Stegostoma tigrinum: one gene and its partners. The main gene of each other region encodes a partner of the protein of the gene in region 3 in a complex. Links are inferred from orthologs where the notes say so. Each region holds a gene or a part of one and is shown on either strand. Other genes may lie near its edges. The genes, in order: pag1, tyrosine-protein phosphatase non-receptor type 22-like and csk.

The links.
Region 1: the proteins of csk (region 3) and pag1 are in contact, whole or in part, in an NMR structure (PDB 2RSY), measured with the Rattus norvegicus proteins. The link is inferred for Stegostoma tigrinum from reciprocal best matches to the Homo sapiens genes CSK and PAG1. Residues at the interface, in NP_001025210.1 of Rattus norvegicus: Thr88, Arg89, Glu93, Arg107, Ser109, Thr110, Asn111, Tyr112, Thr117, Cys122, Glu123, Lys125, Val126, Glu127, His128, Tyr129, Arg130, Ile140, Asp141, Tyr156, Asp161, Gly162; in NP_071589.1 of Rattus norvegicus: Phe291, Ser292, Leu294, Tyr296, Lys297, Ser298, Arg299, Glu300, Glu301, Leu305, Ile310, Met313, Tyr314, Ser315, Ser316, Val317, Asn318, Lys319.
Region 2: the proteins of csk (region 3) and tyrosine-protein phosphatase non-receptor type 22-like are in contact, whole or in part, in an NMR structure (PDB 1JEG), measured with the Mus musculus proteins. The link is inferred for Stegostoma tigrinum from reciprocal best matches to the Homo sapiens genes CSK and PTPN22. Residues at the interface, in NP_001291690.1 of Mus musculus: Phe20, Thr23, Gln26, Ala40, Val41, Thr42, Lys43, Asp44, Asn46, Trp47, Ile59, Pro61, Asn63, Tyr64; in NP_033005.1 of Mus musculus: Pro614, Pro615, Leu616, Pro617, Glu618, Arg619, Thr620, Glu622, Ser623, Phe624, Ile625, Val626, Val627.

What each region holds. Positions count from the first base shown.
Region 1 is NC_081358.1:21,348,666-21,359,962, reverse strand, and holds the start of pag1 (phosphoprotein associated with glycosphingolipid-enriched microdomains 1), read right to left. Parts: upstream 4,609-11,297; 5' UTR 4,390-4,608; intron 1-4,389. Other genes in the region: mrpl53 (39S ribosomal protein L53, mitochondrial), read left to right, coding at 4,987-5,078. UniProt on the Homo sapiens protein: Negatively regulates TCR (T-cell antigen receptor)-mediated signaling in T-cells and FCER1 (high affinity immunoglobulin epsilon receptor)-mediated signaling in mast cells.
Region 2 is NC_081374.1:3,306,704-3,317,168, reverse strand, and holds the start of tyrosine-protein phosphatase non-receptor type 22-like, read right to left. Parts: upstream 5,223-10,465; 5' UTR 5,139-5,222; coding exon 5,061-5,138; intron 1-5,060. UniProt on the Homo sapiens protein: Acts as a negative regulator of T-cell receptor (TCR) signaling by direct dephosphorylation of the Src family kinases LCK and FYN, ITAMs of the TCRz/CD3 complex, as well as ZAP70, VAV, VCP and other key signaling molecules.
Region 3 is NC_081389.1:17,786,702-17,797,079, reverse strand, and holds the start of csk (tyrosine-protein kinase CSK), read right to left. Parts: upstream 4,310-10,378; 5' UTR 4,295-4,309; coding exon 4,269-4,294; intron 1-4,268. UniProt on the Homo sapiens protein: Non-receptor tyrosine-protein kinase that plays an important role in the regulation of cell growth, differentiation, migration and immune response.

The DNA of each region.
Region 1 (11,297 bases), on a different chromosome or scaffold from region 3:
CAGGTGAAATCCTCAATCCTTTGTCTCCTTCCATCTCCTGTTGATTTACCAGGCATTGGTTGCTTTGGAAATAATCACAAAATTATCCTCAGTGCATCTCTTACATCTCCTAAAAGTCCAAAAGACTCAACAGCCAGTTTACCAGTAAAAACTTTAATGGTTACACTCCACTTTCTCCCTGCCCTGCATATCTATCAAAAGATCAGTCTTGCCAACTTTCTTCCAATGTGGGTAACTCTCAATTGCCCTCTGAAATGGACTAGCAAGCCATTAAGTTGTACCAATCACTACAAAGTCTCAAAGGAATGAAACATGATGAACCACCTGACATCACCTCAAGCACCGGAAACGCTAACAGCAGAAACAGCCCTGTTAACCCTGCAAAGTCCCCCGTAGAAGCTATTGCCAAAATTGGGAGAGCTGTCGCACAATCGAGACAAGCGTCAGCCTGACATAGTCATACTTATGGAATCATGCCTTACAGATAATGTTCCAGACAACACCATCACCATCACCATCCCCATCCCCATCCCTGGATATGCCCTGCCCCAACAGCAGGCCAGATCCAGCAGAGGTGGAGGAACAATGGAATACAGTCAGGACAGAGTTGCCCTCAGAGTCTTTAACATTTACTCCAGATCCCTTGAAGTCTCATGGCTTCAGGTTAAACTTGGGCAAGGAAACATCTTGTTGATTACCAGATACCGTACTCTCTCGGCTGATGAATCAGTACTCCTCTGTGTTGAACGACACTTGAAGGAAGTACTGAGGATGGCAAGGGCACAAAATGTACTCTAGGTGAGGAATTTCAATGTCCAATGCCAAGAGAAGCTTAGCAGCAGAACTACTTAGCAAACTGGTCAGGTCCTAAAGGACACAGCTGCTAGGCTGGGTCTGCAACTGGTGGTGAAGGAACCAGCAAGAGAGAAAAGCATACTTGTACTCATCCTTACCAATTTGCAGGTTGCAGATGCATCTGTGCATGATAGTACCAATAAGACTGACCACCACACAGTACTTGTGAGAAGAAAAGTGCCATAATCACATAGAGGATATCCTCAAATCAGGTTTTTGGCACTATCCCCATGCTAAATGGGACAGACTTCAAACAGATCTAGCAACTCAAGGCTGGGCATTCCTGACGCACTGTGGGCCATCAACAGGAGCAGAATTGTACTCCAGCACAATCTGTAACCTCATGGACAACGTATCCCCCACTCAACCATTACTGTCAAGCCAAGGGATCAACCCCGATTCAGAGGGCAGTGTAGGAAGGCTTGCCAGGATCAGCCTAAAAATGAAGTGTCAACCTGAAGTCACCAAACAGGGCTACTTGCATGCCAATAGAGATCAAAGCGATTCCACAACCAACAGATCAGACCTAAGCTCTGAAGTCCTGCCACATCCAGTCATGAATGGTGGTAGATGATTAACTAACTCACTGGTGGAGGAGGCTCCGCAAACATCCCTTTCATCAATTATGGAAGAGCCCATCAGAGCAAAAGATAAGGCTGATGCATTCGCAGAAATCTTCAGCCAAAAGTGCCCTGTGGATGATCCATTGTGGCCTTCTTCAGTGGTCTCCAGCATTACAGATACCAGTCTCCAGCCAATTTGATTCACTCTACATGATATCAAGAAATGGTTGGGGGTACTGAATACTGCAAAGTTTAGGGACCTTGACCACATTCTGGCAATAATACTGTAGACTTGTGCTCCTGGACTTGCTGCTCCTCTAATCAAAATCTTCCAGTATAGTTACAACACTGACATCTACCTGACAATGTTGAAAATTGCCCAGCTTTGTCACATACATAAAAAGCAGAACAAATCCAACTCAGCCAATTACCATCCCATCGGTCTACTTCTGGTCATCAGTAAAGTGATGGAAGGTACCATCAACAGTGCTGTCAAGCAACACGTGCTCAGCAATAACCTGCTCAGTGATGCCCAGTTTGGTTTCTGCCAGGGCCACTCAGCTCCTGACCTATTACAGCCTAGGTTCAAATATGGAAAAAAAAAACTGAATTCTACAGGTGAGGTGAGAGTGACAGCCCTCGATATCAAGGCTACATTTGACCCAGTGTGGCATCAAGTAAAATTGGAATCAATGAGTATTAGGGGGCAAGCTCTCTGGTAATTGAAGTCATACCTGGCACATAGGAAAACGGTCATTGTTGTTGGGGGCCATCCTTTGAGGTCCAGGACATCTGTGCAGGAATTCCTCAGGGTAGTGTCCTAGGCCTAAGCATCTTCAGCTGCTTCATTAATGACCTTCCCTTCATCACAAGATCAAAAGTGGGAATGTTCAGCATCATTTGCAACTTCTCAGATACTGAAAGCAGTCCATGTTCAAATACAATAAGATCTGGACAATACTCAGGTTTGGGCTGACAAGTGGCAAGTCATATTCGTACCACACAAATGCCAGGCTATAACCATCACCAGTAAGAGAAAATCTAACCATCACACCTTGATATTCAGTGGGGATTCAGTGATAGTAACGCCATTATCAACATCCTTGGTGTTAACATTGACCAGAAACTCCAATGGACCCACCACATAAAAATTGTGGCTACAAGAGCAGGTCAGAGGCTAAGAATATTGCACCTCTGTAAGTAACTCACCTCTTAACTCCCAAAGCTTTCCATCACCTAAAAAGGCACAAATCAGGAGTGTGATGGAATACTCCCCACTTATCTGGATGGGTGCAGGTCCAATAATTCTCAAGGAGCTTGATACCATCCAGAATATAGCAACAGCTTGATTGGCGCCATATCCACAAACATCCAATTCCTCCACTACCAATGCTCAGCAGCAGCAGTGTGTACTATCTATAAGATGCACTGCAGAAATTCACCAAAGATTTTCAGCCAGCACCTTCCAAATTCATGAACACTTCCATCTAGAAGGGCAACAGATACATGGGAATACCACCACCTTCAAAGTTCCCTTCCAAGCTAATCACCATCCTGTTTTGGAAATACATCACTAGTCCTTCAATGTCACTGAGTCAATAACCTGGAATTCCCTTCTGAATTGCATTGTGGCTTAACCCACAGCAGGTGGACTGCAGCGGTTCGAGAAAGCAGCTCACCACCAACTTCTCAAGGGCAGTTAGGGACAGACAATAAATGATGGCCAGCCAGCAAAGCCCACATCCCATGAACGTATCTTTAAAATTCTATAAATTAAAGGTATGAAGCTGTATGGGCATAGCGCAGGAAAATGGTGTTGAGATAGATCAGCCATGATTTTGATGAAGGCTGGTGCAGGCTTGATGGGTAAAATGACCTACTCCAATTAGTATGTAACATAATTAAAAAGAAATGAGCTTTAACTGATGTGCATGTAGCGATAAGCATTTTGTCACTTCAGAACTTGAAAAAGCATGCAATATTTTTTAGTACTGTAATGCAGCCAGTTGGAAATGTTTAGTCAGAACCTGCAAACAATTTCACTCAAAACCATATTAAAAAAGGGAAAATGCATTTAGATGTTTGTGTCTTGACTGTGGAAACTATTTCCAAACTACACCACATAATTTTAGAACATTGAATCCATCTGAAGTTAATGGCAGATTTTACAAAATCACTTGCCATTTATTTCCTGGAATATCAGTTAAACATGTAATTCCCAAACAAGCATTTGTTTTTGTCACTCAACATACAAAATAAAATCACTTGAACACATAATGTGGTATCGAACATATAATTATGTTAAACGATCAGTTTTGCAACATTCCACGGTCATATGATCCCGAAGTTATTGAGAGTGAGATAAAGACAGGTATTTAACATGAGATCAAAGAAATCTTTATCTGAAGGTTGGCTAAACCGTTGGAGAAGAAACTATTTTTTTAAAAAATCACGTTTAAAATCAAGTTTGAAGACACCTCCTCTGAACTCAAGTGCAAATAAAATATTTTTGCATTGCATATAATGCTCAACACTACACAAACTATAGAAGATTTGGACCCAAGTCACATAGACAACTGACGCTTTCTAATGAAAACACAAGATTTATTTAGGTTATCTTGCGAACTGCGTGATTTATCGTTACTAAAGGCGAATATACTGTATTTGGCGCACTCACTAAAAATCAAACTATAAACCGTATGATACCATACATTTTTATTTAATTTCAAATGCCCAGCATTTTTAGCCTCGAGCAATTCCACAAATGTCAGTTTCTCATTGTGCTCAAGGCAACGAGACAAAGTATTACGATCTGTACATCTCCGGCGTGAAGAGTACAACCATCAAATCATGAGACTTTCTAGCTACTAGTTAATAGATGTTGAGCACAACTAATAATTTCCATATTTCACAAATCTGGCTACGAAACTGAACGTTTACAAAGGGGATTTTAAAAGAAAAAAAAACTTACCATGAAAAATGATGAAAGAAGTCGCTAAATCTCGCAGCTGCTTCACACTCAAGTTGATAGAGCTTAAGCACGAACATAAACAGCAACTAAAGTAGTCAATTGTAACGTACTGTATATGTAACTGTATGAAGAATAGAGATCACACATTCAGAGCTGTAATAATTTGGTTCCCACCAGGCTCTCCACAGCAGCTACACTGCTGCGATCCTTGGCTCTGGCTCTGCTCCTCCCACACTCAGTGCGACACCCAAGTCGCTACAAACAGCTGGGCAGGGGCGGGGTACGCATGCGCACGCGCTGCCCTGAACAGCGGGATCCACGCTCCGACACAGAGCGCCGCAGGCAGGCAGGCGTCATCAGAGGGGGTGATACTGACGTCATGACGTCCCGCCGCCTGTCCGAACGCATCGCCGACGCTCACCGCAACCTTCAGGTCGCAAGGTGTAGAGCAGGATGAACACAGCAGGCCAAGCAGCATCACAGGAGCGGGAAGGCTGACGTTTCGGGCCTGGACCCAGGGCAGGAAATGGACTGCAATTCCCAGAGCGCACCGCGGGTACCTATCACCCCGCCCCGGCCTCTTGGGAGGCACGTAAGATGGCGGCGGCTAGGGGTCGAGTTGTCCTGAGAACCGTGAAAGAAGTTATTGTGCAGTTCTGTCCCTTTGAGTCCAATGTTCGCGGCGCCAGGTAGGAAAGGTCTCAGAATAAAGCTTCATTTCCTACTCGTTCTTCTGGTGATTTTTGTCTTAGTTTGATAGTTTGCCCCTTTGGTGAAAACAAACTGACTCCTCAACAGAATTAATTGTATTTTCTGGAAGACATGAATCCAGTTGCATGGAAACTGCGGTGCCATAATGGTCTGAGTTCCTATTGTAAATCAATATCAGTATCAATATATGTCCTTCATTTTCGTTTTTAAAATCCAAGCAACTCCCGGTGCTGGAAATCTGAAACAAAACCAGAAATCGCTGGAAAATTTCAGTTGGTCTGGCAGCATCTGTGGAGAGAAAGCAGAGTTAGCGTTTCGGGTCCAGTGACCCTTCTTCAGAGCTGATGGCAACTTGAAAGAAGCATCACTGGACCCGGAAAGTTAGCTCTGCTTTCTCTCCACAGATCCTGCCAGACCTACTGAGATTTTACAGCAATTTCTGTTTTTCTTCCTCCACACTCCGATTATGCCTATGGAAGATTAAATAGCAATGCAGATATTGGAGATTTCTTTTAAAAAAAGCAATATGCTGAAAATCTGAAATAAAATTGGAAACATTTAGTTTATCAGGCACTGTTAGTGGAAAAGAAAGTGGAGCTGAAGCCTTCACTCTGCTTTTGTGTTATCTGGAAAGAAAAAAACTATGCACAGTGAAGCTGAAGATGCTAAGTCAATTGCTGTTACAGGGAGCCACCATGGATATGACTGGGAGAATGGTGTCTGGTGTAGCCCTTTTGTGATTCCATATGCAGAGGATGTGATATATGTGGCCTATCAGAAAAATCTTGAGTTAAATCTCAGAGCCTTCTGACAAAGACACAGGATGGGGAGTCAGATCTATGTAGGTAAATGAAGAGAAATATTGCTGCAAACCAGGATTTAAGGGAATAATTTTGGACGGAAGGGAAGTGGTGTTCTGGAGGAATATGCGCTTGGGCCACTATTGTTTACAACGCTAAGGATTTAGTTCAGAAAGTGAGCTAATGTTGAGGAATTTAGAGTTAATCTGAAATTAAGTGAGGATGGCTATAGCCAATAATATGGGTGACTGCACCAAAATATAAAAAGTCACAAACATGCCTGCAGATGAATACGCAAGGATGAAGATGAATGGTGAACTTACCAAGGTATGGCGGTCTGGTCACCCATATCACTCTGTTTACCACACTTTGTCCTTACATTTTCAATGCCAGTTCACTTTGTATATACTGTGAGCAGACCTCAGTGCCCAAAATGAGATGAAATATAATAAAGTTCCAAGTGCTTCTTGCTGAAATCCTTTTTCGAAAAATCTCATTACTGTAAACCAAAATTTGATGTGTTTAACTTTCCTCAACTACATTATATTTACTTGCCCTAGTCAGTAAAATTGAAGTGTTAGGGAACAAAACTGATAATAGATTGTGGAATGAATTGTTCAGTGCAAATCATCCAGTGATAGTCCTCAGGCTTATGCCACCAAGCAGGGAAATGACAGTCACTTTCTTTTTACACTGTAGGTTTCTTAAAAATGTAAATATTAGGTTATTTAAATAACTTATTAACTCCCAGTTCCCTGGACAGATTGAGATTTTCAATATGTTTATCCACTTTTAACATATATTCATGTCTACTTTTAACTGTAAAAGTATATTTGACTGTTCTCAAAGATGCTCCTCACTTATCTAGATGGTTGGCTTCTTGAAGGGGGCATCAAGCCTGAGAAATTTATTAGCATTCTTTGAAGAGATAACAACAATGATAGATAAGTGTGAAGCAGTGGCTGTAAATGTATTTAGATTTTCAGAATGTTTTTGATAAGGAACCGCACATTACACTGTTTAATAAGTTAAGAGACCATGGTATTGGAGGTCATATATCATCAAGGAAAGAGGATTGGCTAACTAATAGAGTTACAATAAGGGGGACATGTTCAGGCTGGCAGTCAGTAACTAGTGATTAGTGCTGGGGCCATTATTATTTATTTGGATGAGGAAAATAAATTTAAAATTGTGAAGTTTGCAGATGACAAAAATAAGAAGGTGAGTGGTGAGATGATGCAAAGATTTTGCAGGTGGGTAAAGACAGTTAAGAAAGTGGGGGAAATCTTGGAAGATTGAATTTAATTTGGCGAAATGTGAAGTTGTGTCCTTTTTGCCAGGTTGAATAGAGGAGCTGAATATTATTTAAATGGAAAAATATTGATCTTATTTGGTGAAGACTTGATGGGCTGAATAGACTACTTCTGTTCCAAAATCTTAACAGCTGTTTAAATAACTCTTGCAGCTTTCAACTATCTTTTAAAAGGTCTAAAGCTTAAGAATCATGTTTTGGTCATTACACTGATGAAAATTGGATATGATTGAAGGCAGCAATGCTGTAAAATATGGATTTACATCTGAATCGTGATTGACCATTCTTCCCGTTTCTCTGTCTCCGTTGCATCTGTTACAGTAAAACCAATGCATCACTTTCGTTGAACTAAGGATTCTTCCCCACACTGCTTAATGAGACTGGTTATGTCTGACCCATTTTCCACAGTTCTGCCCTCACTGGTTGCCTTCCCCATTACACTCCACCCAAATACACACAGCAATAATACAGTTGCCCTTGTCTTCACTTCTGTGCCATCAGACTCTGCATTCAAAGGGCAACCCTCCACCACCCCCATGAGATTTCACCATGAAAAATATCTTTTCTTCCCTTCCTACTCTCCTATTAGCATTCTGCAGGGGCTGCCCACTGCCCCTCTTGTGCTCAACGCCTCTTCACTCAATGGCACCATGCCATGCAATCACAAAGTGTAGAAGGTGGAAAAACTTCTTTATTATCTCCTCACTGCCCACTGTTCAAGGCTTCACGCGAGCACTATACTTTCAGTCTAGCCAACTGTATCTACTGTTCATAATATAGTCTCTTATACTTTTTTGGGACTAACTGCGACTAGATGACTGCTGTAATGAACATCTCTGCACTGTCTGCAAGTATGATCCTGATCTTCTGGCCACCTGCTATTTCAATATGCCATCTTGCTTCCAGTTCCGTCCTCGTTCCTATTTTAATATTCTATGAAGCCCAACACATGCTGGAGGAATAGCAGCTCATTTTCTGCTTGGATGTTTTACAGCCTTCAAGAATCTTTCCCATCTGTCTCATTTGCTCCTTCTTTTCTGTCCCCTTTGTTTATTTGCAACATAAAACACAAGTTTTCCAGACCTGTTCAGTTCCAAAAAAGTCATATCGAACTCAACATTAACTCTGTTTGTCTCTATCTACAGGTGCAATCACACCTGCTCACTTTGCATTTAACAAGTCTTAAGCTGCACCAGTCCAAGCAACTATTAATTTTGTTATGGATTCAAATTTCTAAAAGCTTTCTCACTACAAAATTAAACTGCCCTACTTTGAACAAGGGTGGAACACTTGCAGTTCTCCAGTCCTCTGGAGCTACCTCCATATCTACATGCACAGTTTCCACCCTTACTTAAGCAGTATCTTGACTGAAACATAGAAAATCCTGAAGAGTCTTGACAGGGTACATTGTGAAAGGATGTATGTTTTTGTGGGATCATCTCGAACTCAGGATCTCTGTTTCAGAATAAGGGGTCACCATTTAAGATGGCGATGAAGAGAAATGCTCTCTCGCAAAGGGTCATGTGTTTGCAGCCCTGCTTCTCCAAGGCAGAGCCTTCGACTATTTTAAAGCCAGTGGTATATAAATTCTTGACAAGCAAGACAGTGAAAGGTTAACAAGGACTGTTGGGAATGTGGGATAATCGGATCAGTCATGATTATCTTATTGCATAACGAACAGGCTTGATGGGCTGATTGTTCTACTCCTCCAAATTCATATGGCATTATAGTTACTTCTCTTAATGCCATTGAATACATTCCATTCAACCCTAGCGACTTGTCTTTACAATCAGCTTTTTAATAGCCGTTCTTTATCAACTTGTCATGCACGTGGTATGTCAACTACCACTGCATTGTTTTCTTTCTTGGTGAAGACAAGTGCAAAGTACTTAATTAGCATCTGAGAGATAACCAAGACAACAAAATGTGAGGCTGGATGAACACAGCAGGCCAAGCAGCATCTCAAGAGCACGTGCTCCTGAGGTGCTGCTTGGCCTGCTGTGTTCATCCAGCCTCACATTTTGTTGTCTTGGATTCTCCAGCATCTGCAGTTCCCATTATCTCTGAGAGATACCAGATCTGTTTTGTGGTCCCTAATTGGTTCCACTCCTCCTTTAACCATCCTGTTGTTGTTTGTATGCCAGAAGAAAATCTTTGGATTCCTGCCTTTATGTCAGGTACCACTTTTTTTTTTCCTCAGACTCTGTTGTTGCAATTGTATTTCCTTTCTCAGCTCTTCTCTGAGCTTTCTATATTCAGCTTGGTTCTCACTTGTGTTAACATTTGACATCTGTCATATAGACCCTTTATCTGATTCATTCTACACTCTACTTTGTTACCATTGAACTCCGGCCTTGATTGTTGTCCCTTCATCATGCAAGAATGTACATCAGGTGTACATGAGCCATCTTTTAAAAAGTAGCTCGTTTGGTGACATTTTTATCAACTAACGTTTGATTTTGTTTACCCAGAGCTGGGCTCTTCAATGAAGTATTTTTCCCTCTTATATTGCTGCTTGTTCGTCTCCCAAGCTATTTCAAACCCCGTACTGTAAGACTATCATCGCAGGGTCCTTGGCATATCCTGTCATAGCAACAGGTAAATGGGACTTGGGGTGGCAAGAACACAAAATCCAAAAGAAATGCGAGACTTCAATCCCTCACCAAGAATGGCATAGTAGAACCACTACTGACCAACTGATCAAGTCCTAAACAATAGAGTTTCTTCACTCAGGAGGTCAGAAAATTAACAAGATGGTAACATTTAATTGACCTTGCTTTCACAGATGTAGCTGTAGCTGATGCCCGTGACATCATTAGGAGTGATGCTACGACCATACCAAACCTCCTTAATATATATCAAGGAGATAGCCCAGACCCTAATTTTTATCTTCTATAAAGGCAAGTTTAAGGTGCTGCATTTCATTTGTAATTCGATGGTCACACTACTAGGCGTTAAGCAAAGCACACTTTATTCTTATCCTACGGTTAAAATACAAACAAAAGAAAGAAGAGTCAGTATAAAAACTTTATTGGAAATCTTAACAGAACAGTAGATGATTTAACTACTAAACAGCAACTGTTCCAACATAGCAATATCTCATAAACATACTTTTGGCAAAGGCAAATTCAGTAAAATAGATTGTCTCACATGCAGTGTTTCTCCAGTCCGGGAGAAAAGATGTGGCTGAGAGAGAGAGAGACGGAGCAACTTCAATAGCCAGCTTCAAAACCCCAACAAATACTGAAACTGAACTAAAACCCTGGTTCTTTGGGAGCCTAACACCACTCATTTTTGCTGCTTGTGTTGTACCAACCCCTCTCCAAAAGTAAACCCAGGACGAAATGCACCTCTTAAAGCCAAATTTCGTCATGGTGCCCATCACACAGTCATTGTGAGCCAAAGTCCTACCTTTACTTGCCTCTGTCATGTAGGCTGAATGGGATAGTTTACAAACATACCATAACAAATGGACATTTATGTGGGGCTGAAAGCATCAGATGCAGAATTGTCTTCAACCACAATCTGTAACTGCATGGTCTGGCTTATGCCATACGCAACTGTGACCGTGAACCCAGGAGTCCAAACCTGTTCAGAAACACTGAGTAATGCCCTTCTGATTTCCCTAGCATCATAGATGCAATCTTCAATCAATTCAATTTTCTCGGTGTGTTGGGTAAATGATTGAATGCTGCAAGGGTTATGGACCCTTACAACTTACTGGCAGTAAGACAAACAAGAGTGGGACTTACACAGTTAATGGTAATGCCTTGGGGATCATTGTAGAATAGTGACCTAGGCGTTCAGGTCCATAGTTCATTGATAGTTGTGTCACAGGTAGACAAGGTAGTGGTGAAGGTGTTTGGTGTGCTTACCTTCGTTGGTCAGACATTTGATAGAGGAGTTGGAATGTCATATCGCTTGTTGTACAGAATGTTGGTGAAGTCACTTTTGGTGTACTGTATATGGCTCTGCTTGCCCTCCAGTAGGGAACAGATTATTAAATTGGAGTGGGTGCAGGAAAGACTTGCAATGATATTACCAGAACTGGAGGGTTTGAGTAATAAGGACTGGTTGGATAAGCT
Region 2 (10,465 bases), on a different chromosome or scaffold from region 3:
TAGCGTTATGTGGTGAAGTGCAAGCTTATTCACTTTGGTTAAAATAATTGCTAAAAAAAGCAATGCTTTTTAAAAATTTTAAATGCAGATTTTCAGAAAATCTTATGAGTATACTCATACAAGAAAAATGGCATGGAGCTACAGCGAGTGATTGGGAAAGTAAATCACAAGTTGGTCTTAAATGCAAAGGAGTTGGAGAAAAGAATCAGGAAGTCTTGCTAAAACTATACAGGTGAGACCACATCAGCAGTACTGCGCACGGTACTAGTCTCCATATTTACTGAAACACACATTTCCTTAAAGTACTGGTGTACAGAGCAATTGTAGTCGCCACACTTGTGGCCTGTAGTGAGACCCAGATTGTGTATCAGCTACAAGCAACAGTATAAGAGAAATTCCATCAGTAATGCTTCCGCCACATGCTCCAGATTTGAAGGGAGACTGTCAACCAAAGGCCAGTTTGCCTCCTGAAGCCAGCTCTATTAGCATTCAGATAAAACTCCTGCAAGGTCAACTTTGGTGGAGGGCGGCTCCGTGGTGAGCACTGCTGCCTCACACCACCAGGGACATGGGTTTGATTCCACCCTCAGCCGGCTGTCTGTGTAGAGTTTGCACATTCTCCCCGTGTCTGCGTGAGTTTCCTCCGGGTGCTCCGGTTTCCTTCCACAGTCCAAAGGTGTGTAAATTAGGTGGATTGGCCATGTTAAATTGCCCGTGCTGCGCAGGCTAGGTGGGTTAGCCAAGGGTCAGTGTGGGCTGAATAGCCTGCTTCCACACTGTAGGGAATCAATGAGTAGATACTGAATCTGGATGGCCAAAGAATATCTCCTGCATGATGTCATGTTTTGTCACCTCTCAAATGGCCAGTGATCTGGCGGGGGGAGGGGGGACAAAGAAACTGCTTCAGACTCACTATGAAGTGCAGTAGCAATGACGTTGACAGTGAGAAGATCGTTACCAATTGTTTAGATGGTGACAACTTGTCCATCAAGCCAGGTCAAAGTTTGAGTCCCCAGTGTCTTATAGATGAGGCAGAGGAGTGGAGGAGAAGACAAGCAAAAGAAGCACATCCTGCATACTGAGTCCCGCTACATCGAGGCACATCCTGTCCTGAGTGCTCAATGATCTGCAGCTTCGAAGTCAGCCTGTTCAGTCACATGATAACCCATGACTCATGACACTGAATGGGCTGGTGGGATAACCCCTACAAGGCCCACAGGGAATCATTAGTTAGATTCATAGAATCCCCTTAGTGCCGATAGAGGCTGTTTGGTCCATCAAGTCTGCATCGAAACTCGGTTGATCATCCCACCGCCGTAACCCCGCATTTCTCATGGCTAATCCACCTGGTCTACATATTCCTGGATATTACAGGGCAATTTAACATGGACAGTCTACCTATCTGCACATCTTTGGACTGTGGGAGGAAACCGGAGCCCCTGGAGGAAACCCACACAGACACGGGCAAAATGTGCAAACTCCGCGCAGTCATGCGAGGCTGGAATTGAACCCGGGTCCCTGGCACTGTGAGGCTGCAGTGCTAACCACTGAGCCAAAATCTCCTTGTGGACCTCGGTGAGTACGCGTTCCCTTGGTTACAGCCTGTGCAGCTGAAACTCCTGTTAAGATCACAAATTCCGACAGTGTGGAAATACGCCTTTCGGCCCGTCAAGCTCACACCGACCCTCAGAGCATCCCACCCAGACCCATCTCCCTATAACCGAACTAATCCACACACCCCTGAACACTATAGGCAATTTAGCGTGGCCAATCCAATTAACCGGCACATCTTTGGACTGTGGGAGGAAACCAGAGCACCCGGAGGACACTCACGCAGACACGGGGAGAATGTGCAAACTCCACGCAGTCACCCAAAGGTAGAATTGAACCTGGGGTGAGGTAGCAGTGCTAACCACTGAGCTACCATGCCATCCCAAGCCGGTTAACTGAGGTCTTAGCAGAGGATTGCAAGGGGATCTTGTGGTGCAGTGATGGCTTCCCTACTACTAAACTGAGAGATCTGGGTTCAAGTCCTCCCTGCTCCTGAGATGTGTAATAATATGTCTGAGTAGGCTGATTAGGAAAATAACACAAACCCAGGTTGTAGTTGATAATTTAAAAACAGATTTAACAAAAGTCATGGTGATTTCATGGTTGGAAAGCCATTCAGTTTTGAGTGATAATATGTATGGATATAACAAGAAAAGAATAAAGCAGACCTAGAACTGTCTGTTCCAGAGTGGCATGAGCCTACATACACCATGAATAGTGGCACTGTTTTGGCATTCAACAATAAATGATGTTCCTTTCCAATAAGGCTTCCTGAGTTATTACAACGAGTATCCTTAAATTGAAGGACATCTGCTACCAACATTGAACTGGCAATGAATAAAGGTTCACTTGATTGGACCCTGGGAATGAGAGGGTTCTCCTGCAATGAGAGACTGAGTAAACTGGGTCAACATTTTTTGCAGCTTCGAAGAATGAGAGGTGAACTCAGTGAAACATGAAGGATTTGGAATGACTCGACAGGATTGATACTGAGAGATTACTGCACAGGTTGAGGAAACTGAGACATGGAAATGAGGAATCAGGGATTTTGGGAGTAAGTGAGAGAGGTGGAGTTAAGGGTGAGGATCTGTAATGGCTGAAATTCTGAAGAAGGGTCCAGACCCGAAATATCAGTTTTCCTGTTCCTCTGATGCTGCTTGCCCTGCTGTGTTCATCCAGATCTACACCTTGTTGTGTTAACTTCACATCCTTTTATGGCAAAAAAAACTCACCATTCAAAACTTTTAAATGATTATTAAGCTTGTATCTATTGCTTTCTGTTGGAGACAGTTCCATCATGCTATCAATCTTTAAATGAAGTATTTCTCCATTCCTCTCCTGAACTGCCTGGTTCTCCCTTGAAGCTTACACCCTCGTGGCCTGGATTCGCACCTACCAGCAGGAACAGCCTGCTTTCTCCCCTGCCGATTTCTGTCAAAATCCTAAAACTTAAATCAAAATCACCCAAGGAATACAAGCTGAGTTGATGTAATGGTGATAATGGGAACTGCAGATGCTGGAAAATCCAAGATAAGGTGAAGGGCCTAGGCCCAAAACATCAGCTTTTGTGCTCCTGAGATGCTGCTGGGCCTGCTGTGTTCATCCAGCCTCACATTTTATTATCTTGAGTTGATGTAATGTCTCCTTATAACTGATGGTTTGGAGAACTGGTGTTGTGGTTCTTCCAAAGGCAGAGGAAGCATATTTAATACTGATCTCCAAAAGGAGAATTCGGTAAGAAACAGTGTTTGCAGGCTGATGGGGAAAGAGCAGGGGAGTGGAACTAAATAATGAGCTCCGAAAAAGAGCCAGAACATGGACCATGGTTTAAATGATCTCTGTTGTATAATCATGGGCTACAGAGTACAGATGAAAGCTTGTGGACATTTTGATGAGGCTGAATTCTCTACATTCAGTCATCCAGCTATACTGTTGAAGTTCCTGTGGCCTAGAAAGCCATTTTGAACGATCTTCCGTTATGTTGTTTAGTTGTCTGTGAATAGCTACACAGTACTAAAAATAAACCAGTAACTTAACTTCAAAAGTATCTTCAAATCCCTTTAATGGCCTGCCATTTTATACCTTTCACTGCTCTGCAAACAGTGTCGAAAAAATTATCTTCTGACAAAAATCGTAATTAAAAGGGGTTGGAGTAACTTTGGTCAGAACTATACATGAGTTTAACTTTATAGAAAAGGTTTGTAGTGAAACTTAAATCCCAGGGATAGAGTCTTTCATCGGAAGGAAGCCCCTGAAAAACGGCAAATGTGTACACACAAGAATTCAAGAATTAAGTACAGGAGTAGGCTGTTCAGCCTTCTGAGCCTGCTCTGCCATTTAATAAGGTTGTGGCTGATATGGTTGTAGCTTTAGGTCCAATGTCCTGTCTGCCACCACCCCCAGACCCCTGTAACCCCATACTTACTCATTGATCAACACTCTGTTTAACCCAATGTCCCAGTCTTCCATGCTTTCTGAGTGAAACAGGTTCAAAGACTAATGATGACATTCTGATGAAGGGTCAGCGGACTTGAAACGCTAACTCTGCTTTCTTCCCACAGACACTGCGAGACCTGCTGAGTTTCACCAGCAATTTCTGCTTTTGTTCCAAAGACTAACAGTTCACTGAGAGAAAGATATCCCTCTTTGTCCCTCTCTTAAATAGGAAACCCCTTATTTTTAATTTGTGTCTCCCGATTCTGAACCACTCCACAAGGGCAAACACCCTATCTCACCAGACCTGGCAAGACTCCTCAGGACCTTCCATATTTCAATACGATCACTTCTCATTCTTCCAAACTCTAAAGGATAGATGTCCAACTTGTTCAATGCTTCATGGTCATACAAGCAGGAAGCAGCAAAGTGAACTTTCTCTGAACTGCTTCTACCGTGACTTTTTTCCTTTCTTATGTAAGGAGATCAAAACGTGACACAGCACTCCAGGTCATCCTCACTGACCGACTGGCAAGGACCTAGTTTATACACTCACATATTCCTGGGTTCCCCTCTATCTACTACAGATACACTCGCAGGGACCAGTTATTATTCATAGTCAGACACCTCTAAGCATGAAAACTGCCTCAGATTCTACTTTCTCTGTAAAAACTGAACGTCGAATGCAAACATCCGCAGGACAGAATTCCGAGTCACAAGCGACTCGTTGCTCTATCTCTCGATAGCGAACGGGCAGCCACTCAATGGGCCGAGCGATCTCCTTCCGCGCCCCAGCCACTTACGGTCTTTAGTTGATGGCGGTGAAAACTGTTCCTCTTTCAACTCTTACAATGCAGTAAAAGATCACAGAAACCCGAGTGCGAGACCCTGCGCTCAATGAAGAAGCAGGAAGCCCTGTGTCAGGTCTGAGGGGAGACAGCGGGACTATCTCCTGTCTCTAACCGACTCAGTCAGTTCCCCACGTTCAAAGAAGGCAGAGTGTCCCTGGACAGCGGTACCTCACTCTCTGTCCCTCAGGCTCGCCTTTAGCAGAGCAAACTCAATAAGAGACTCACCAGAAACTCCCCCGAGGTTATCTCCTCTTTGTTGCGCACCTGCCTGAGGAACCTCACCAGGATGGTTCCTTGGTCCATGCTGACAGCTGGCGAGCTGCTGGTAACTCTGCCCAGCGACTGCGGGACATGACAGAGGCTGAGACTTAACTGGCCTGAAAGGCAGGACTTTGAACTGCATATCTGCGGTTTTAACACAAGCAGGAGGGAATCAGCAGTCACTGTTACTGCGGTCAGAGAAGGGAAGAGAGACAGGCTCTCTGCGGGTCCTAGTGCCTCTTGGCGATGGCAGACAGTATCTGCATTGTTTGGTATACGCTCGTGTTTTTTTTGGGCGCCTCTAAAGTTTTACACCCATTTTCCAACTCGAGAGATTGCTCTTTTACATTAAAATATTTAAGTTAGGGAACTGTGATTGATTTGTAACAGCTTGTATTCTGTGAATGAACAAAAATAAGACATACAAAGTGACGCACTCAAGACATGCACACACACACACACGTACAGACGACAGATACACAGACATACATACACATAGACGCAGATACACTTACACACACATGTACAAAACACAGAGACAGACAGACACACAGGGACAGACACACATTCACAGTGCACACACACAGACATACACAAACACATACAGGCACAGATATGCACATAGACAGATACAAACTCACAAACAGATACACTCACAGACGGATACATAGAGATATATGCATGTAAAAGGACCATAGCTAACACATACCTCACACAAATACACAACCTCAGAGACTCACAGCAACCCCATCCCCCAGAAATATAACCCCAAACAAATTTTCAGTCTCCCCTACACACAAACAACACCCTTATTGGAATAAAATGCTTCAAATCACTTTACAATAATACTTGTAAAGACAAATTTGGCATGTAATATGTTACATAATCTTGGATATCTAATCCATTTTTACTTTTATTTATATACTTCTGTATTTTATTTCTGCCTGTTCTGTGTGTGTACTATAGGGTGGGCAATTTCTATGTGTTTACATGTGTGTGTTTATTTGGTTGTTTGTGTGTAGGGGAAACTGAAAATTTGTTTGGGGTTATATTTCTGGGGGATGGGGTTGCTGTGAGTCTCTGAGGTTGTGTATTTGTGTGAGGTATGTGTTAGCTATGGTTCTTTTACATGCGTATATCTCTATGTATCTGTCTGTGAGTGTATCTGTTTGTGAGTTTGTATCTGTCTATGTGCATATCTGTGCCTGTATGTATTTGTGTATGTCTGTGTGTGTGCACTGTGAATGTGTGTCTGTCCCTGTGTGTCTGTCTGTCTCTGTGTTTTGTACATGTGTGTGTAAGTGTATCTGTGTCTGTGTGTATGTATGTCTGTGTATCTGTCTTCTGAACTTGTGTGTGTGTGTGTGTGTGTGTGTGTGTGCATGTCTTGTGTGTGTCACTTTGTATGTCTTATTTTTGTTCATTCACAGGATGTGGGCATCACTAACTGGCCCAGTACTTGTTACCCAGTCCTAGTTGCCCTTGAGAAGGTGGGAGTGAGCTACCTTCTTGAACCGTTGCAGTTCATATTCCATCAGTAGACCCACAGTGCTTGACATGAAGGAATAAGGAAGGGAGGTGTGCATTTTTTGCATGTTGTGCATATCTGTCTGTATATGTGTGTCTGCCTGTGTGTTTTGTGCATGTGTGCCTGTGTGTGGGTGTGTATATCTAATTATGCTTGTGTGAGTTTGTGTCTGTCTATGTGTCTGTGAGTCTGTCTGTACTTGTGTCTATTTGCCTGTCCATCTATATGTTTTGTTTTTGTGTGTGTCTGTGAATGTCTTACCTGTGTCTATGTGTTGCCTCTCTGTGTGTTTATGTCTGTGTGCTTTGTGCCTCTGTGTGTATGTTTGCGTCTGTGTTTGTTCTTTGTGTGTGTATGTCTGTCTTACGTTTTGTGCTTCTTGTGTTTGTCCATGTTGTGTGCATATTTGTGTTACTTATGTCTATGCGTCTGTTTGTTTGACTGTCTGTATATTTCCTGTCTGTCTGTGTGTTTTATGCCTGTGTATGTGTGATTATGTGTGTTGAACATGTGTGAATGTGTTTCATTACTTCAACCTCCTTGGTTCAGTTTTAAATGTTGTTCAGCTGTAAATTCATCTGATTCTGAGCACAAGCCCATACCTTTCTGTTTTTTTTCCTTTTCATTGTGGATGGGGCTTTAATAACTGCCTAAGGAGATTGCAAATGCTGGTGGGAGAGGTCAGAGGAAAAGTAAGCTTCTGTGACTCATCATAAAATTTGAAAAGAATCTAGAACAAGGTAAACCAGACAAAAACGATTCAGTAAGGTTTAGATAAATTGGGAAAGCTGTCTCATGGACTAGTCAGGCAACAGCCATGCTCACAGAATATCCCTTTACTGACAATATCCCAGACACCATCATTACCATCCCTATCCTTGGATAAGTTGTGTCCCATCAGCAGGACAGACCCAGCAGAGGGAGCGGCACAGTGGGATACAGTCGTCAGGGAGCTCCTCTGGGAGTCTTCAACAGTGACTCTGGACCCCATGAATTCTCGTGGTTTCAAGTTAAGTCTGGGCAAGGAAACCTTCTGCTGATTATCACATACCATCCTCCCTCAGCTGATAAATCTGTATTCCTCCATATTGAACAACACTTTCGGAAGCACTGAGGGTGGCCAAGCTGCAAAACGTACTCTGGGAGGGAATTACAAATTCCACCACCAAGAGTGGCTCAGCAACAGTACGACTGATCGAGCTGATCGGGTCCTAAAGGACAGAGCTGCTAGACTGGGTCTGCAGCAGGTGGTGAGGGAACCAACAAGAGAGAAAAGCATACTTGACCTCATCCTTACTAATCTGCCAGCTGCAGGTGCATCTGTCCATGACAGTATCGGTAAAAGTGACTGTCACACAGTCCTTGTGGAGACAAAGTCCCACCTTCACATTGAGAATAAACTCCATCACGCTGTGTGGCATTATCATCACACTAAATGGGACAGACTTCACACAGATCTAGCAACTCGAGACTGGGCATCCATGAGATGCTGTGGGCCATCAACAGCAGCAGAATTGTACTCCAGCACAATCTGCAATGTCATGCCCTGCATTTTCCCCCATTCAAGGAGCTCTAGCAAAACTGGAATCAATGGGTATCAGGGCAAACTCTCCACTGGTTTGGTTCATTCCTGGCACATAAGAAAATAGTTGTGGTGAATCGACATCAGTCATCTCAGCTCCAGGACATCTCCATAGAAGTTCCTTAGGATAGTGTCCTAGGCCCAACCATCTTCAGCTGCTTCATCCATGACATCCCCTCCATCACTAGGTCAGAGGTGGGGATGTTCTTCGATGATTGTACAATGCTCAGCACCATTCGCGACTCCTCAGATACTGAAGCAGCTTGTGTTCAAATGGTACAAGAAATAGATAATATCCAGGCTGACAAGTGGCAAGTAACATTCATGCCACACAGATGCTAGGCCATGGCCATCTTCAATTAGAGATTATCTAACGACCACCCCTTGTGTTAGCATCAATGAATCCCTCACTATCAACATTCTGCAGGTTACCCTTGGCCGCAAACTCAACTGGACTCACCACATAAACATAGTGGCTACAATGGCAGTTCAGAAGGTGGGAATATTGTGACTAGTAACTCACCTCCTCACTCCCCAAAGCCTGTCCATCACCTACAAGACACAAGTCAGGAGTGTGATGGAATATTTCCCATTTGAGTGCAGCTCCAACAAAAGTCAAGAAGCTGGAAACCATCCAGGATAGAACAGCCCGCTTAATTGAAACAACATCCACAAGCATCCTCTCCCTCCACCACCTATGCTCGATGGAAGCAATGTGTACCATTTACAAGATGCACCATAGAAATTTACCGAAGCTCCTTCGACATTATCTTCCAAACCAACGGCCACTTCCATCTAGAATGGCAAGAGCAGCAGATACATGAGAACTCCACCATCTGCTAGTTCCCCTCTCTTCGACTGAGAAAGTAAACTGCTTGGTCGTATGCAGAAAGAACTCCTTGCATTATTGAAGAAGACCAGGATGGTCCTGGTCAATGTTTATTATTCATCAAAGATATTTGCATTAGGGTCCTTGCTGTGCTCAGATTCAAGAATGATTTATTGGCTGCGCAGTAGTGAAGATATCCCTGAGGATGTGATAGCAGTGATATCAACATGAACCTTGAATTATAATAATAATTTCATTCCAAGAGACCATCATGCTAATTTCAGAGAGATTCCTTGATGCTTTCTTAAAATACTGCATGACAATTTCCTTCATATTCATTGATTTGGTTCTTTGCTGCAGGACAATTGCTTGGAACAATATGAAAACAGTTGAGTCAATGCAGTGTGCAGCTGGAGGAGCACAGCAGGCCAGGAAGCATTAAGGGAGCAGGTGAGTTGACGTTTCAGGTCAGGACACTTCTTCAGGACTGTGGAGGGGGAATGGAGCTGGGAAATGAATGGGGGGGTGGGATTTGGGCTGGGGTAAGGTAGGTGGGATGGTGATAGGTGGGTGCAGGTAGGGGGCTGTGGAGATAGGACATGGGAAGGGTGGGGCAGACAAATGGGAAAGAAGATGGACAGTTTGTCTCAGGTCAAGGAGGCAAGGATGAGAAGGAGGGTTGGACATCGGATGAGGGCAGGGGTGGGGAGAGCTTGAAACTGGTGAATTATATTTTGAAGCCATCGGGTTGTAGGCTACCGAGGTGGAATAGGAGTTGCTGTTCCTCCAGTTTCCGTGTGGTATCATTGTGCCACTGGAGACATGTCACCCAGGGAGTCGGAGGTTGAGTTAAAATGGTTGGCAACCAGAAGGTGTTCTTGACAATAACATATAGAGCGCAGATGCTCCATGAATCAGTCACCGAGTCTGCGCTTGGTATAGAGGAGGCCGCTTCAGGAGTAATGAATACAGTGGGCAAGGCTGCGGGGTGTACAGGTGATCCCCTGTCAGATTTGGAAAGATTGTTTGGGGCCTGGGATGGGGGTGAGGGGGGAGGTGTAGGGGCAGGTGTAGCACCTCCTGCGGTTGCAGGAAAAGGTGCTGTGAGTGGAGGGGTTAGTGGGGAGTGTGGAACGGACAAGGGAATTGCGGAGTGAATGGTCCCTGTGGAAAGCAGGTAGGGTTGGGGAGGGAAATATCTCTTTGGTGGTGGGGTCGGATTGCAGGTGGCAGAATTGGTGGGGGATGATCGGCTGGATGTGGACGTTGGCGGGGGTATGTGAGGACTGGGGCAGTCTGTCCTTATTTTTGTTTGGAGGAGGCAGTTTGAGGGCAGAAGTGTGGGAAATGCAAGAAATGCATCACTGGAGGGGGGGTGTTGTGGTCCTTGGTGAGACCAAGCGCAGACTCGCTAACCGATTCGTGGAGCA
Region 3 (10,378 bases):
TGCACAAGTGAAATCAGAGCTTAGAAAATAAAACCAGAAGAGATATTAACATCAGCACTTGCTTAATTCTGATGACTGGAAAGCAGCATCCAAATGACAATTCTTGAATTAACATCGTTGTTATCAGTTCTCTTATACTAGGTGCACAAACACTGACAAACTTGAAACTTTACAATTAAAGTTCTCTCAGAAGTCGCTCAGGTTGTGAAACTCAACTGAATACCTTTTCTCACCTCCTCTATTACCCATACAAAAGCAATTATGACATCACTAACCAATAATACTACTCTAATCAGCTTGAAGCCTATGTTCAATAAAGGTTTGCAGTGTACTTTAAAATCTGGGCCATCTATTCTGATCTTGCCAAAGACTGCACAACAATTGCATTAGATCATGTGTATAACCTATTATTATTCACTCCTACACACAGTATTGTTAGAGATATTGTGAGATTTATTGTGTCATGTCCTCAACAAAATAGAAAACCACTTGAACATTTTCAAAAACTGGAAAAATAACAGCAGTCTTGCCAAGTGCCAAAGTATGGAACCAAATAAAAACATTACTGATCCACCCTATGATATCAAGCCCTTAGGAATTTTTTTTTAAAAATTCAAACCGTGGAGCTTTTAAATGGCATTTTCACATGCCAACCTAGCAAATGCGAAGGTAGATCAGCTAAGTTAGTTTCACTGAAAGAAGTTACAAAAAAGTCAACATTCGAGGAAGGAGGAACAGGCAGTCTTACATCACTTTTTCCTGGTCTACGACATTAACGTGACCACATACGTTATTTTGGGTAATTAAATAAAAATTAAAAAGCAATTATTTTAGATTGCAAATTATAAAGCCCTCAATTTAAACTCGTGGCACTCTGAAGGGAACCCCTGAATTCAGGTTTAAATTGATAGAATGCTCTGTCCCCAAGTTTAAATTGATAGAATGCTCTGTCCCCAGGGTTAAATAGGTGACAAATAGATTTTCAGTCCATGTGAGAACGAAGCAGAAAAGAGCATATCCTCACTGCACTGGTGTCAACCTAGTTTCAACCCGGAGCAGGCCAGCAAGGAATCCAGATCCATTTCTGACACCATAGTAATGACTATACTTCAAATATAATACTTAATTGGATGTGGAGCAGATTTTGTTGTTAAACAGTTGGGTCTTACATGTTTTATAAATACAACTTTTTCTTCTTGCGGATAAAGGGAGTTGGGAACTAAAAAGACCTTAAAATCTGGAACCATTTTCTTGAGGAAGGCACTGCTGCAAACAAATCATCTTTTGACTGCTAAAATGTTCAAGGGGCAAAAAGAAGTCACTGCGATGGTCTTCGGAAGTGAAGGATGTACCGTTAAAAATAGGAATTTATTTCACATTATGCAAATTACAAAATTTAAAAAATTGTCCTTATTTCCAAGCAGCAAACAAAACATAAGTTTTGATGTTTCTTTTAATTTTATAACTTGCTTGAAGGAGTAAACATTTGTTTAAAGAAAGCATGAATATTTAAAATGAAATCAAGATAAATACAGGAAATTATCTCTCATTAATTGCAGCTGGTGAGGAATTGCCAAAAGCAGCAAGAAATCCTGATAAAGGTGAATGGTCTCCCCTATGTGATGAATGCAGAATGTACTCCTCACTTTCCAGTGGGGGAGCGAGGGAAACAATTCTCCAGCAACTATTCACAACTCCTTTCGGTAATGGCAACTAATTTTCTTACAAAATATTACATCCAATGTAATAGCACATAATCAACGACACTAAATAATTGGTTAGTTGGGTTTTATAATACATTAGGATAATCAATGGATAACAAAGTGAGGATGGTAAGTGGGATGAGGGGATAAGGAACAAATCCACACTACTGGCATTAAAGTTCAACATATTAAAATTAAAAATTAAATAATCCATGAGATTCAGTTCCATTTATTCAGGTTAAGCCCAGTTTGAGCTTCTATATTTCACTCTGCTGTGTTGCTGTTCCTGCTTTTATTCACTGGAATTATAAAAGAGTAATGCCTTGGAAAATTCATGTCACCATTCCACCAGAATCTGTTATATAATTAGCTTCTACCCGACATTGTTTAAAACACCCAGAACAATCTCCAGGTCCCCCTCCTCCCATAACATCCACATTTCTATTCCTCCCACAGCAAGATACCAGAGAGCAGGAGAGAAATTCAGCACTCTACAATTCCTGCCTTGAATCTACTTTGTTCCTGTAGTCAGGCTTAGAGAACACTAAGGAGTGCATTTCTACACTGCACCAGCACAAGAGAAGTAAATGCCATTTCCAAAAAAAAATATCAAGATCACCATGCACCGCAGGAACCTTTGTAACCATCGAAAATGAAAAGGGTGCAATAATGTCGTGCAGCCATTTGCCAGACAGATTTTACATTCAGAAAAATACTGCACACGTTTGTACAGAACTACCAGAATCTACCTAAATGATGCACTATGTTCCAGAAAATGTAACAGAAAGCCTCAATGTAAGCTCATTTTAAACCAACTAAAAAGTGACGGTACTATCATACAGAAGATAAAAGCAATTTATCACAACTTTCAGGTATTAAACGAAATGAATACAGATCAAGTATTTAAAAGTCATTAATACAATTTATTAATACAGTGATGAAGTGCCACCATCTGGTGTATGCTATAATGCTGTCTGAGGTTTAACCCTTCAGTCACAAAATGTCCGTTATTTGAAACATCTCAAATTAAACATGAAAGCAACAAGAAATTGTGGTATAATGTCTCTGCACACTAACAGCATGAAACAAAATCCAAAACAGATCTTTTCAATACATCATCTTTTCACACCACCTGCCTATCACTAATGGGCAATGCAAGGGCAAAAAGAAATTAGGATATCCTTACCTAAAATTTTCTACAAGGGTACAGAAACTACACAGCTGCAAAGACGAAACAGATCAGAAAGCACACACATAGCCCAGAACACTAAAAGGCTCCCATTTGAAAAATACAGCAATCTGGGACATCTCATTAAAAAAGGGTGGGCAGAATGACCAAATCCGTATTCTCTCAATAAAAACTGATAGAACTGTGGATGCTGTGAATCAGGAAGAAAAACAAAAATTGCTAGAACAGCTTAGCAGGTCTGGCAGTATGTGAAGCCAAAAAAAAAAGTCACATTTCAGATCCTGTGACCCCTCCTCCAGTACTAAGGGCAGGCCACCGGATTTGAAACGTTAACTGTTTTTTTCTTCACAGATGCTGCTAGATCTACTGAGCTTTTTCAGCAACTTTGTTCTTGCCCATATTCTCTCATTTTTCTTGCTCCTACCAGTTATCCCAATGCAACATATCCAGAGTTTCTAAGCATAAGCACAATAAACACTTGCAAACTGCATATCAGACAACACAAAATATACAAGAACTTTCACGTTGTTTTGATAGCCACAGTTCTGCTGGATGACAATATTTACTTGTAGAATTCCAATCTAACAGGTGTGTATGGTAAACAAGAAGGCAGCTGTAGCTGAAATTTCAATACAATAACTACTTTGATGTATACAATATTGTCACGCAGATACAATGACTTCTGAGTTTTTCACAGTTGGTTTCTTCGTTTACAAATTGAAAGAGGGACCAAAAGGCTCTTCCGAAAATACATGAGGGCAAAATGCAAGTAGCAGTCCTGCACATTCCTAACTAAAAAACTACACAAGCTCATAATCACAGACACATTGCAGATTTCTACTCAGTGATTATGTCACAAAACTACCAATTGTCACAAAAATCTGGTTCACTAGTAGCCTTCGGGAACAAAATCGTTTAGCACGTGCCTACAGGCCCACAACAATAAGGTTCACTCTTAACCGCTCTCAATGCTCAATTCAAGAGTTATTCAGGGTACAAAAATGCTGCCATTTCTATCTCTGAAAACTAGGACGACGACACAAGGATTTTTTAATCTGATCTCAGTCTCAACTCCACTTTCCATTCTGTCCTTATAAGCATTCTCTCCACAGTTCAAAAGAACGTCAGTATTGTTATGGAAAATAACAAAATTTAGCAGAATATTGATCTGGTTAATAGCTCTAGAACCCTGCAAAAATTCATTTTTTGGGTTTGGCCTTTCGCATTTCAAAGGCCATATTTGATTGAAAAACAATTTCATGTCTTGAAAATCTTGACTTTAAAAAAGTCCTCCTAAAGCCAACACACCCTTACACTCTTCAAGAACTCTGTCATTACATAGCTCCAACCTTTCTGGCATCTCTTATATGCTTTACCTGACTATCTGGCCACGCGCAGGCATGTATTCAGCCGTCTATTCTCTCCCAAGACTCTTTCCTCCTTTAAGACTCTCCTTAAAAAAAACAAGCAACTTTTAGTTACCCTCAATACTTTTACCACAAAGCAGTGAGAATAAGTTAGCTTAAAAAGGTCACAATAAACAGCTGTTGGTGATCTCTTCCACTGTAACACCAGCTCATTCTTTTCACTCATTGGTTCTTGCAATGACACTAAGCCACTATAATGATGGTTGCCAGGAGACCATGGCAAGTAATAAATTAAAAACTCCAAAAAAAAAGACTAAAATAGAAATAGCTGTATATTTATTTAAACTCAAACACCAGCGTTACGCTTAAAACCAGTTGTTAGGTTCACACCATCTAGATGTTATGCGCTACAGTTTCAGTTGTACGCTATTCAACGTAAAATAACTAGGCCCTATCTATGCCTTGTTTCATCCTCTAAATAGACCTTAGGTTCTGTTTCATCCTCTGCCATGTTTAATGTGGTGCCACTTCATTGAGCGAGCTGCAAAACAGTCAAAAATGCACCAGGCACCAGTGTGGTAAAATAGGAAGTCCTCACGATAATCACAATTAAGAGATCTACAAGTTATTCATGAATCATAGAACTCCAGGACTAAAGAATTCACGTGAAAAATACATACTGCTGATTATATAACACCATACCAGGAGTTGGCAGAAGTATAGTAGAGTTTACAATTGCAACAGATTAATGTCACTGACTTCAAATTGAAGATCTGTCTGCAATAAGAGCTTGTACAGTTTTCAATAAGTACTTGCTCATGAATAGAATCTCAATGACAGTCACAATCCAAGTAAATAACTACATCCATGTACTTTGCATTAGCAGGCAGTAACAAATCAGTGTGTCTTTAACTGTACACAGAGATGTGGTTAAATTATTTAGTGTTAAACCCAAGCATATGCAATAGCTTTTCTTAAATCAAACCCACAAAAGAGGGAACAAATACTGTCAAAGGATCTAAATTGAGAAATAATGCACAGGCAAAGGAGTACCGTAACAGTAAAAAAAACCTTTCATCTTTTCAAAGAAAAAAAATTCTTGTTTGTAGAGGTTCAGTGGAAAACTACTCTAAACCTTCCCAAGATAATCACTGGACATTGGACAAATACCGTACTATCAAATAAATTAACTGGCCAGCCGCATCATTTACGGCTCTGGGAAATAGTGCCACAAGGCATTGTGCTAGATCTAATTAGTCACTAAAATTCACAGTGTGAAGCACGTCGGGTGTTTGAATGTAAGAAGGCACTCCATAATTACAAATAATGATTTTTCCGAGTTACAGAATGTCCTGCATGCATCTTGAAATAGCTTTGTTATTCTACATAGGAAATTTAACTTGCAAAGTGGTGCCAATTTAAACTTTGCCTTTACTGCCTGGATACTCAGTCAGGAGTCATCTTTTAAGAATGAAGTAGCCCTAGGTCAAGACTGGAGCTTGATCTAAACTTACTGGAACCAATCCTAGTGTAATTTACATTGATGTAGCAGCACAGTGTGTGCTTGGAGTTTCTCAAAGTGCTTCACACCTAATTAATTACCAAGTAGAAGAGAATACTGGCCCAAATACAGTCCCCATCATCACAGTAGGTACCTAAATGGTGGGCCTCCCTCACAAACCTAAAAAAACAAGCAAGGACCATCTTTTTAAGTAGCTAAAGGAACCATAGCAGTGTCTTTAGGAAATGGACAGCACGCAATATGACATTTGTCTTGTAGCTCTAAAAGAAAATATTTTGTTTAAAAACTCAGCTCATGTTCCTAGAAAAGACAGCCCCACTAGATGTGAATATTCCAGAAAGCTAATTGGTGAAGACCAGAACTGGGTCCAATCTTTCTATATTTGTAAAAGCACTGACTTACAGTTGCATTTTGCAAACAGATACCACTACTTCAGTCCACATCCAGTTAAAACGGCACAAATCAATTCTCAATTCAGGCACAACACATCCACAATTAAAAGTAATCAACAATGCTTCCAAAGCAAAACATCCTAAATCAAGATAATAGACTACATGAACTTTCCCCATGTATACTCAAGTAAGGTGTAGACACCAAGCAAAATCTAGGATATGGTCACCCAGCCCAAGCTTTTATCCAGAAAGATCTGAATATATTGAAACATGATCGGGTTGCACAAATACCTGTAAAGTTTAGATACTTTAAACATTAACTATAACGTGTTTTGCCTCATTTTAAAAGAAGTGTCTTTCTTGCATACATTAAATCCAGTTGGTTTGACAAATTAAAGGCCAATTACATGGGTTTCAAAATAATCCTACAGCAAACAATAATTCCCAGCAGTCTTTATAAGAGTCACAGTCAGGCAGAAGCAGGCCAGTCCACTGAGCCCACACCAACCATTAAAAAGCATCCCACCTAGCCCCACCCTTTGCTCTATCATCCTGCAATTCCTCATGGCTAATCTAGCTAGTCTGCACATAGGGAAACACGACGGGTCAACGTGTGGAGCTGGAGAAACACAGTAGGTCAAGCAGCATAGGAAAGTGGACGTTTGGAGTTGGGAGGCTTCTTCAGAACTGTTCTGAAGTTCAATTCAGTTCGGAAGAAGGGTCTTGACCCAAAATATCAACTTTCCTACTCCCCTGATGCTGCCTGACCTGCTCTGCTCCTCCAGCTCCACAATGTATCGATTCTGATTCCAATAACTGCAGTTCTTGCTATCTCCTCAACACTATGGGGCAATTTAACATGGCCAATTCACCTCACCTGAACATCTTCGGACTGTTGGAGGAAACTAGAGCACCTGGGAGGAAACCTATGCAGACACAGAGAACATACAAACTCTGCACAGACAGTCACCCGAGGGTGGAACGGAACCCAGGTTCCTGGTGCCTTGGGGCAGCAGTGCCATTTATTGTCTAACCCATCACAATTTTCATTACGTACAAGATAAGGCACTTTTACATATCTAGTGGCTGGTCACAATGGCCTGACCCAATATCAACTGGTTGGATTGCGTTTCAGTACAAAATGTAACATGAATTCTACTATTTTGTAAAATAGTTCTATTCACCAGTCAATTTGGAACAAAAGTTGGCCAGTTACAAGTTTAAGCTCGAGTAATTGTTTCCAAATCTCATGGTAGCAAGCTCACGTGGTGCCTCTGTGTTAAATACACAAAGAAATGACCAAAGCTCTTCAGCAGTCGAATACAGCAAGAGTTCTAACAGGGCCTCAATTCCTCCATATTGTTCAAGGACCCAGCCTGAGGTATACTGATGTGGAGTACATAAGAACTTTTGGATTCACACCAATATAAAAAAACATAAGCAGCTGCTGCTATATCTCCTCCCAAGGAACTCAAGGGGAGGAGTCACTAAACTAGAAACGCACAGCATTAGCGATTCTGTACTTCCAAAGAGGACCAAGATTTACAGTTTTCGTACCCGGCACATTATCTCAGTCTGAATAAACAAAATTATTCCAGACTAGCCTGTCTTTTCCCCCCAAAGCTCTATCCAGCAGAGTTTTGCAACTCTCACCCCTGAATGAAAGATTGGAACTAATACATTTGATTTGCAAACAGTAGCAATTATTTTAGGCTATTACAGCATAATTATTAAAATGTGTAACTTTCACTGTTAGGGAAAAACAGCTAATGCTGTCACATATTAGGCAGTTATTTTTTAAAAAACTGCCTTTCATAAATTGGTTGAGACAAAGATGCTAAATCAGGCCATAGTATTGGTATTATTCGTGCTTCAATTAAGAAATTTCTCTCTATATATACAGCACCAGCCTTCAAAGTAAAGGAACACAGCAGAGAGCTAATTAGCAGAACAGCAACAATACGTCAAAGCAAAAATGATAGCTGCTGATCGCATCACAGCTTGCTCCGGTGCACAATTTTACCATAGGCAGTTAGGCTGGCCTATTCTGCAGACTGATGCAGTACTGACGATATGCACCAACTCCTTCAAACAGATCAGCAGCATTCTGCAGTCACAGCAACAAAACATAGGAGGGCTAATGCTTTGCATTCATATCTCTGCTCAAAAAAAAGACTGACTTTCTGTGCTAATAATCTTAAACATCTCTCTGCAGGTCATTTTCATTTCTTATTCACCAAGGTTAATAAAAATTACTAGGGTGCAATCTCATTTCTCTAACAAGGTTAATGAAATTTTCTGTCCCCCTCACCCCAAATAACAAAATGGTAACTACAAAGACATCCATGATCAACACGTTATAATCGCACAGCACACTGAAGTTAAATTCCAAAAGAACCCACCACTTATGTCTCATTTGAGACACATTGAAGTGCTCAGGCCAGATAATTTCAGCACTCACATGGCTATACAAACAAATAAAATTGACAGTAAATACCTTGTAAGTTATGCACTGTGAAAGACATGGTAAAATACTGAATATGGAAAAGGGAAAGGGAAGCACACCTGACAGATTCTCAGTACCAATACTTGCCTGCAGATCCTTGTTGCTGGTTGCCTGTGAGAGCAGAGGCAAGTATGGCACTTCTGCTGTTACAAAGAAAGATCAGGAATGGACCGAACAACAAAGTCTCCAACGAGTCTCTGGGATTTTGCATGCACTATTTCAATTGTCTTTTCAATATGTTCAGTCCAGTGTGATTCTTCATGGTGTCTGCACTGAAGAAACTAAGTGCAATGCAGATTTTGCACATAGATCACTGGACAGATTCTGATGCAGCCATCAAGCACTCTGTCTTCCAGTTAAATTCCTAGACCAATAATAATCCAGTTCCCCCTCCACAACTGAACCATTTGACCAATGAAAACAGTTTAGCTGAAGGCATTAACATTTTCCGTCTGCAGCTGAACATATAAAATAATATTTCATGCATTCTACCCTCAATTTGCAATGTAACTTTAAATAGCAATCATTTTCTACATCTTGATTTACATCAAATGAAAACAGAGATTTAACAGTAAAGTTGAATTACAAATGATTTGTGAAAACACCAAGAAAATTAGCTAGGCGCCAACTGGGATATAGATTGCTTTCAAAGCCTGTAGAGGACGCAAATGTGAGCATGGGTGGGGTCTGATAATTAAATTTCTGCCTCAGCCAAATTGTAAGTATATGTTTCAGTTCTTCCTTCAAAATTAATTCCAAATTTTCCGAGTTTTTCAAGAATTAGCTTCAAGTTAAAACAATAATGTTCAGAAAAACCACAACATGTATTAACCAGCAGTAATTGCACAAGAAATCAGAATGTAAACCACATGTACTTCATCCAGTGCACCATGAATGCAAATTTAATGGCAAGTAAAATGCACCCCAAACAGTGCAATAGCAATTTCTCATCACCCAGATTTACTAACATTACTAAACAGTACAAGCTGATAATAAGTGCAACTGCAGGAAGTGCTACACTTGCCCCCTGACCACCTCCCTCACCCCCATCCCAGGCCCCAGGATGACCTTCCATATCAAACAGATGCTCACCTGCACATCTGCCAATGTGGTATATTGTATCCATTGCACCCGGTGTGGTTTCCCCAATGTAGAGGCGGCCAAGTGGAGGCTTGGGGACCGCTTTGCAGAACACCTCCACTCGGTTCGCAACAAATAACTGCACCTCCCAGTTGCGAACCATTTCAATTCCCCCTCCCATTCCTCAGACGACATGTCCATCATGGGCCTCCTGCAGTGCCACAATGATGCCACCCGAAGGTTGCAGGAACAGCAACTCATATTCCACTTGGGAAACCTGCAGCCCAATGGTATCAATGTGGACTTCACAAGCTTCAAAATCTCCCCTTCCCCCACTGCATCCCAAAACCAGCCCAGCTCGTCCCCTCCCCCACTGCATCCCTAAACCAGCTCAGCCTGTCTCTGCTTCCCTAACCTGTTCTTCCTCTCACCCATCCCTTCCTCCCACCTCAAGCCGCACCTCCATTTCCTACCTACCACCTCATCCCGCCTCCTTGCCCTGTCCATCTTCCCTGGACTGACCTATCCCCTCCCTACCTATCTTGGTTTTCTCTCCATCTTCAGTCCGCCTCCCCCTCTCTCCCTATTTATTCCAGTTCCCTCCCCCCATCCCCCTCTC